Oryctolagus cuniculus: one gene and its partner. The protein of the gene in region 1 purifies or fractionates together with the protein of each later gene. This does not show direct contact. Links are inferred from orthologs where the notes say so. Each region holds a gene or a part of one and is shown on either strand. Other genes may lie near its edges.

Region 1 (3,803 bases):
CTTTTGTTTATCTGTCAGAAAAGTTCTCCGCAGGCCAGGGCTTGGAAAAGTGAGTGCCAATTTCAAGCTGGATACTATGGTTGCTGCCAATAGGAGAGAGCTACCAACTGATGCAAACTGCTAGCAATAGCATTTTCTGATATGATCATCTCTTAGAATAGGATAAGACATCGGATTACCACATGAGTGTCTTCAAGGAATAAAATACCAGGAGGTTTGATGCCTTGCTTGGATATGAAGTTTAAGGAGTGGGAGAACAGCTAAGTTTGATAAATCAATGTTAGGTTAAATTTCTTGGCTGATGTCTCTGATTCTTTATAGAGAATTAATTGAACCTTTTTTTTTTCTCTTTTGTGACAAGGTTTTCTAGTAAGCCCCTGCTGATGGCTCTGGGAAGAGCTTTGTGAAAGAGGAGGAGGCGGGTTAGCTGCCCAGATCAGCCCCCCTCTAGCCACTGACCTGGATGCTGTTCCTGTATGTCAGAAAGCCTGGCTTCATTCTTCATGGGTTGGAGCCACATTTGAAACCTGAGAGAGAGAGAGGCCTGGGGGAAAGATCGAGTCATTGCTGCCAAGAGCTGCTGTGTTAGCCCCAGCCCATTGTCACTTTAATGAAGCTGTTTGCCCTTCCCCTGGCGATTGCCAGCGTTTCCCTGGGAGTGGACCCTTGTCAAAGCATGTAGGTAATGATAGTCTCCCGCGAGACGATCAGAGAGGCCTCCGCAAAGCGACATGAGCTGTGTCATTTGGAAAAGAAAGCGAGAACCAGACCCTTGGTGTGTAGCTGAAAGACAGTCAATCTTCAGAAAGCCAGGCCTGACATCTCTTTGGTGACAGTTCTTTAAACTGCAAAGTCAGAGAGAGGAGGTTTGGTCTCCTAAGTAACCGGCTGCTCTGCTGGCCCCTCAGTCGTTTCGCTCTGATCGCAGACTTTCTTCTCCCTTGGGCTCAGTCCTCACCCCAGCTTGAGCCCAGCCTAGGACCAGGTGAAGACACGGAACCCCCAGGAAGTGTCCCCCCCCCCATACTCCTACCACCACCGGCCCAGGTATGGGAGACCCAGGAGTGGGGCAGGGCAGAGGTGCCCAGCAGCCTGCTGGACCAGAGGAAGGGCGTGAACTGGAGAGAGGAGCAGCGAGGTGTTGCCTCTTGGAAAGTTCCTGCCTTGTGTCTGGGCTTTTGCAGTGTGAAGAGTTGTTGGCTGCCTCTGGCCCTGGAGCCCTGGCTCCTGTTTAATATTCTGCCTGCTCCGTTGATGTTGTGCTTGGCTCCTGTGGGACTGCAACTCACGGCTTGAAACTGGAGCCAATTTTCTGTCTTCATCTCGCAGTGTTTTGACTGGAGGCAGATCCAGTTCAGGCCGATCAGGGCTGGTGGAAACAACTACCAAGTGTCTCTGTGTCTGCCGCGCTCTGGGAGAAGCTGGAGGGAGCCCCAGAATGTTGGAGAGGAGCTGGCCTTGGCAAGCAGAGGAGGGGGGGCAGGGGGCAGCGGGACACACTGAGCATCTGTTGGAATTACGGTAGAGGGTTCTGCCTCTCCACCCGTTTCTTTTGATTGATTAGCGGATTTCATCAAAGGAGACTCCCAGGGGATCGACTAGAAAATTGATTTTGCCTTATTAATAGAAAAGAAGCGCAAGGGTTTTGGCCCTGCCTCTTAGCGGTGCGTTTTCTGCGGGAAGGTCAGGAGGAAAATGTGTTTAGAAGGCAAAGCAGCTGTCTGGAAGAGGGCTGAGGGGAATCTGAGAACAATAAGAAGTGGGGTTTTAAAGAGCCGCCCATGAAACGTGGCTTGCCGAACACGAAGGCTGAGCTAAATAGCAGCAAGAGAGTTTGCCGAGGTCTTCTCTGGAAAAAATAATCAAACGTTGCAGGGTGAAGGGGCGGACCAAGAAGTAAAAGTTTCCCAAAGCAAAGGGACGAAGATGCCAAGCCCGTCCCCTGGCCCGCTCAGGAGGAGCGCTATTTTCTTTCCCCTTTTTTCTTTCCAGATCTGAGGCTGTCAGCGATGACTCTGGTTCTGTCCATGAATAGATTCTGCGAGCCCATTGTCTCGGAAGGAGCTGCTGAAATTGCCGGATACCAGACGCTATGGGAGGCTGACAGCTGCAGAGGCCTGAGCCCCCCGGGGCCAGCCCAGGCTCCTTCGCAGGGAGACCGGGGGGCCGGGCCCCCTCTGGCAGGTATTCCCCCTTGATCCTCCTGTGCTGCCCTCTGCGGCCAGACTGGTGGACGGGAGGTGGTGGCTGGGGCGCGCTTCTCAGCCCAGAGCTAATGCTCTCAGGGCTTCCAGGGCTGCCCATGCGCCTCTGGAAGTGAGCCCAGGGCGCCCAGGGCATGATGGAAGTGATAGTTGAATCACAGTCCGACCTGCGTCCACCTGTGCCCCTGCTTGCATCTAAGTCGTGCATCAGGATTTTTGAACCAAACCAAATATTGAAACTCTGGGCTTGGTTTTGGGTTTTCTACCCTGTGGTCTGTAGGGTTCTCTCAGGCTGCGCAAGCCCTGGTGGGCGTGACAATGAAACCTGTATCCTGTGAGATATCCAGCTATATGCCTCTTCTCTTCAGAAGTATGCCGTTGGTGCTGGTTCTTGCAGGGGAACAATTTTAAAGCCAAGAAAACAGAAACGTGTTCTTTCTGATCTTTTACTCTTATAGTCTAAGACAAGTTAGTTTGGACTTTTGTGTAGTGCTGGCTATTTAAAAAAAAGAATATAAAACAAGTACTCAATGGAGCATGTTTTGATTTAAAAAAAAAAGCATTCAAAGCTGGGGTCTTTAATAACATGTAGACCTACTTTTAGTCATAATTGACTTGTTACATTTTTGAGAGTGAAAAGGATCCTAGTTACAAGTTTAAATTTTGTATTTTGAAAGAAGGAATGTCATAACTTCAGTGTGTAGGTAATCATCTGTCCAGTAACCTAGAGCCAGTGATACTGGGAAGTCGTTTGGTTCTCAGTGGTTACGGTTAAACATGTATCCTTTGCACAGTGGTGTTATGTTATCATGGATGTAACTAAACAATTTGAGTGAATAGTCATGTTATCTTAGAGTTGTTAATACTCTTCCCCTTTATGAATGTTGATGTTTGCCTGTGCCTAGAACTAAGTAAACTTAGTAAATGTTGAAATATGTCATTTTCTTCTATAATTGCCCAGAAATCCTCACCTAGCCTGGGTCAGGATTCCATGTGATAGCAACTATCAAGATAAATGTTTATTTTTAATCACCACATGCACAGACAAATATGCAGCCAAGTTATCCTCTGGAAGGAAAGGAAAGGAAAGTATTTTGTTTGGAGAACCTCTGGCAAACCGCATGTCATTTGTCATATCTGATTTATTACCACAGGATCACATTACAGGGGAATTTCAAATCCTATAACAACATCCAAGATCACATACTTTAAGAGGAAGTATGTGGAAGAAGAGGATTTTCACCCACCACTCAGCAGCTGTAGCCATAAAGTATGTTTTCTTAATAGTCATTATTTTTATTAAGAGTTTAAGATACTTAAGTAACAGTTGCTTGATCCAGTTCCAGAAATTAAATTGTTTCACCCAAGCAATGAACATGAGCCACTTCTCAGTAGAGCCACATTAATCGTTGTCACTTTTTTGGGCCCTGTGTTATTTTTCATAAGTACTTGGAGAGAGAGCCAGAAAGAGATCTTTTTCCCCTAGAAATAACAAAATTATATAAGCCAACAAATGTCTTCTTTGCTTATGATTTAATATTTCCCACGTAGTGTTAAGGGTTACAGGGATTCTGCTCTCTCCGTGAGTGGGGGAGGCAC
Region 2 (3,803 bases), on another chromosome or scaffold:
TCCCGAGCTCAGGGCCTTGGCCGCGGTCACACCGTCAGGATTTGAGGCCGGTCCTGTGTCTCCCCTCTCTCGTCCCCATCTCACAGACTCTGTGTCGGGAGAAATGGATCCTTCTGCCCTTCAGTTGTGCGAAGGAATGGGCGCTCACTCTGCCCCCATTCTGCAGCTCAGCGCGATTTTGCAAACGGGCCCTCTGCTGATGCTGCCGGCGCCACGCTCCCCCGGCTCCACTCGCAGCTCAGCTGGCAGCGTCTCCGGCCTGAGGCTCAGCTGAGCCGCTCTGAGCGAGGCGCAGCCCCTTCACAGAACCAGGGACCACCCGACGTGCTGTCCACCCCCGGCAGCAGGTGCAAAGCACCTGGTGCTCACAGATGCCCCGGGCACAGGTAACCGTGTCCATTCTGCTGGTGAGGAGACTGAGGCACGGAGCAGGGAGCTGCCCCCGGCCAGCCAGCAGGCCAGCCTGACCCTGGCTCCAAAGGTCCCACAAAGCACACAAGCGCGCCCCCTGCCGGCCAGCCGCTCACCTGCAGTGACGTCACCGTGGACAGGTCCTTGAGCTTCCCTTCTTCGTCCTTCAGGTTGTAGCCCTCGGGCCTCTTGTCTCGCTCGGTGATCTTCCATAGCTTGATGGTTTTATCTTTGGGAACAGAACCGGGCACACAAGCAGGGGACAGAGCGTCCACTCAGCCACTCACCGCGCACGCGCCAGCGACCCCGCCCCCACCCCACCCCAGTCCTGGACTGGACACCCCGCTGCTCTCTTATTTCGCCCGTGATGCACGAGGGGCCTTCACAAAGTTCAAGGAGACGTGCATTATGGAAAAAACCTGTGGATTTGCAGCAAAATACACTCAGCCTCATGTGCCGTGAAGTTTTGTGTCTCCTCCCGGGCTGACACCTTTCAGCGCTTGTCTTCCCTGAACCCTGACCCCGAGGGGAGGCTGCTAGGCCATGGCTGAGACACTCGACCAGGGACGCCACCCCCGTGAGCCGCCTACTTCCCTAAGCCCCTCGGGGACAGGCAGAAGAAGCAGAGCCCCTCCCCAGACCCGGGCTCTGGGCCCCCCCCCCCCCCGCCCTGCAGGCCCGTGAGGACTCAGGGAAGCCGCGGCAGGGGAGTTGGTGCTGGTGTCACGCTGGCGTCCCCACGGCCCCCAGATGCCGCCTTCGGGCAAACACGTCCAGGGTGTTGCCGTCAAGGACTCCCAGATGGCACTAAAACGTGCATTGGTGGGGCGGGCGGGTCTCCCGCACGCGCGGGCCTCACCAAGCAGCGAGGCCCAGACACTGCCCTCGCCGAGCCCTGCGGCAGCCGGCACTGCACGGGCCTCCGCCTGTCCCGTGAGCCTGGGCCTCTCCAAGTCTTTCTCTCTCTCTCTCTCTCTCTCTCTCTCTCTCACCTGCACCTCAATGAATGGGACTCGGAAGAAAATGGATCACAACGCAGCCATTAACAGGCACCCAAGGCCGTTCGCGAGAAGGGGCGGAGCTGGGATCCTACCGGGGAGTGGGGAGGGGAGCCCCGAGGATGACCTTCCACCCAGGAGGGGGCAGGAGGGGCGTGTCCCCCCAAATGAGAGAGGAACAGGAGGAGCCTCGTGCGAGGTGCCCGGGCATCGCCAGACGCTCCTGCCACTGTGGGGGCTGTCGCTGGGGGGACCCCCGGCCGCCTCTGCTCCTGGCCGAAGTTTGCTGGGCGTGGCCGCCGTGCCGGGCAGCCCTTACAGAACACAGATCCTACTCGGGAGAGCCTGGCGGCCTGGTCCAGGCCACGCCCCCCAGGGCCACAGGGCCACACCTCTGACCTGCAGGGCTGGAGGTGAAGGGGCTGAGCAGGGGGAGCAGATGTGGGCAGCAGGCGTGCCCCGGTGGGCGTGTCCTCGCCCTGGGCACCATGGTCCTAGAACAGCACAGGGGCCCCCAGCTCAGCCTACACCAGGTGACAGCCCCCACGGGGCGGCTCAGGGCTTCGATGAACAGTGGTCACTGGGCTTGCTGACCCGGCCTCTCCACACCCCTTAGGGGTGTTCCAGAACATTCCACCATAGTGGGAATGGAAGCTCGGGCACCGTCACCAGCTGCTCATAATATCATCTTTTAGGAAACAGGCGGGAAACGCAGGCGATGCGCACAGCCGGCGCGGCGCTCACCGTTGGTGGACAGGAGCGAGTGGGCAGCGTTCTGCTGCGGCAGCCACTTGATCTTGTTGATCTTCTCCTCTATCTCCAGGCTCTTGAGATAGTCGAACTCGGGCTCGTGGCTCTGGAAGGTGCTGTAGACGTCGTACTCGCCCTGGCTGTGGGGCGCATTCTTACTCTGCAAGGAAACCCGGGACAAGGGCTGAGCTCCGGCGCGGGCTCCTGGCGGGGGTGCACGCGGGAAGCGGCTGGGACCATGAACACCTGAGACCCGACACAGCCACGGCACCCGGGAGCCGGCGAGTGCCCCCGAGCCCGCCACACGACAGAGAGGACTCTGCCCTGATTAGAAGAGGCAGAGAGACGGACAGACGGACAGACGGACAGGGCTTCCATCTGCCGGGCCACTCCCCACAGCAGCCAGCGCGGGGCGCGATGAAGCCAGGAGCCAGGAGCCAAACCCGCGTCCCCCACGCAGCTGGCAGGGACCCAGCTCCTCTGCCTCCCAGGAAGCCGAAACCAGGGCCCAGAGCTGGGAGTGTGACCCAGGCACCCCCATATGGGCCAGGCCATCTGAACTGGTGTCTTAACCCCCAGGCCAAACGCCAACCCCCCCTCCCAGACACACTCTCTACCATAGCCAAGCCTTATCCACTTAACCCCACCGGGGCCGGCTCACACCCGCAGAGCCTCAGAGCACCTGCCGTGTGCCACACATCGCGTCTCCTCCCCGCGCGGCCTCCTTTGCTGCGGGGACGGGGGACCAGGGCTGCCCCTGCTTTCCACACGGCAGGTGGAGCTTGGCCGGGAGTGGCCTCCCGGGCTGTGTGTCCGCCGAGTACCAGCACTCACTCCCCGAGGTCTATCTCACGGCAGTGAGGCGCTGACCACCCTCGGGCTCCGGCCCTGCCTTCCTCCTCGCGTCCACCTGCCCTGACCTGAGGCAGGGACCACGGTTTGGAGCGGATTTGACCCGGGGGTGGAAGTTAGGGCTGGGGGACAAAAGCCGCGGCCGGCCTTCCTGCGCAGGCCCCACCTGTGACGATCCTGGCGGAGCGCATGTGCCGGCCACAGTGTCACCTGTGCCAAACTGGCCCCTGACTGTGTGCGTGTGTGTCCTTGGCAAGCGACCGGTACCTCTGTGCTCTGAACTCCTCAGCCGCGGAGCCAGGCTAGCGACAGCACCTGGGCGTGCCCAGTCAAGGCCAAGGGCAAGCAAGGAGCAGCCTTAGGAGCTGCCGTGCTTGGGAGAGGCGGAAGGGGGCAGGGCTTCCACCCCAGCTCTTCCCTCCTCCTCCCCGGCCTCACCCCTGCCTCCTGCACTTGGCACAGTGTCTGCATGGAGATGTTTATCAGGAGGGTCTTCGTTTCAGAATCGCTCCCCTGGGCACTGCTCTGAAGCCCCCTGGGGACTGACGGTGCAGGGTGGGGTCAGGGGCTGTCAAGCCCAGTGTGGCCACAGACACCTGGACCGCCCCCTCCCTGTCCCCTCTAGCCAGGACAATGCCTGGTCACCCGGGCAGGACAAGGCTTAACTGGAGGCTTGCATCGGGCAGCAGGTTTCTCTGGGGCTGGACAGAGCAGCGCCAGTGAGCGGTCAGCGACATCTCCCGAGTGGGGGAGTCGGGGCATGGCCTCAAGAGTGGACCCCTGGACTCCCAG

What was found.
Region 2: the proteins of SERTAD4 (region 1) and PPP2R2C purify together in Homo sapiens (affinity purification with mass spectrometry; 3 studies listed by BioGRID and IntAct, counting the BioPlex papers as one, with this or other methods). This does not show direct contact. The link is inferred for Oryctolagus cuniculus from reciprocal best matches to the Homo sapiens genes SERTAD4 and PPP2R2C.

Annotation. Positions count from the first base shown.
Region 1 is NC_091444.1:25,084,750-25,088,552, forward strand, and holds part of SERTAD4 (SERTA domain-containing protein 4), read left to right. Parts: intron 1-1,992; 5' UTR 1,993-2,009; coding exon 2,010-2,184; intron 2,185-3,358; coding exon 3,359-3,474; intron 3,475-3,803.
Region 2 is NC_091433.1:3,537,451-3,541,253, reverse strand, and holds part of PPP2R2C (serine/threonine-protein phosphatase 2A 55 kDa regulatory subunit B gamma isoform), read right to left. Parts: intron 2,320-3,803; coding exon 2,154-2,319; intron 641-2,153; coding exon 528-640; intron 1-527. UniProt on the Homo sapiens protein: The B regulatory subunit might modulate substrate selectivity and catalytic activity, and might also direct the localization of the catalytic enzyme to a particular subcellular compartment.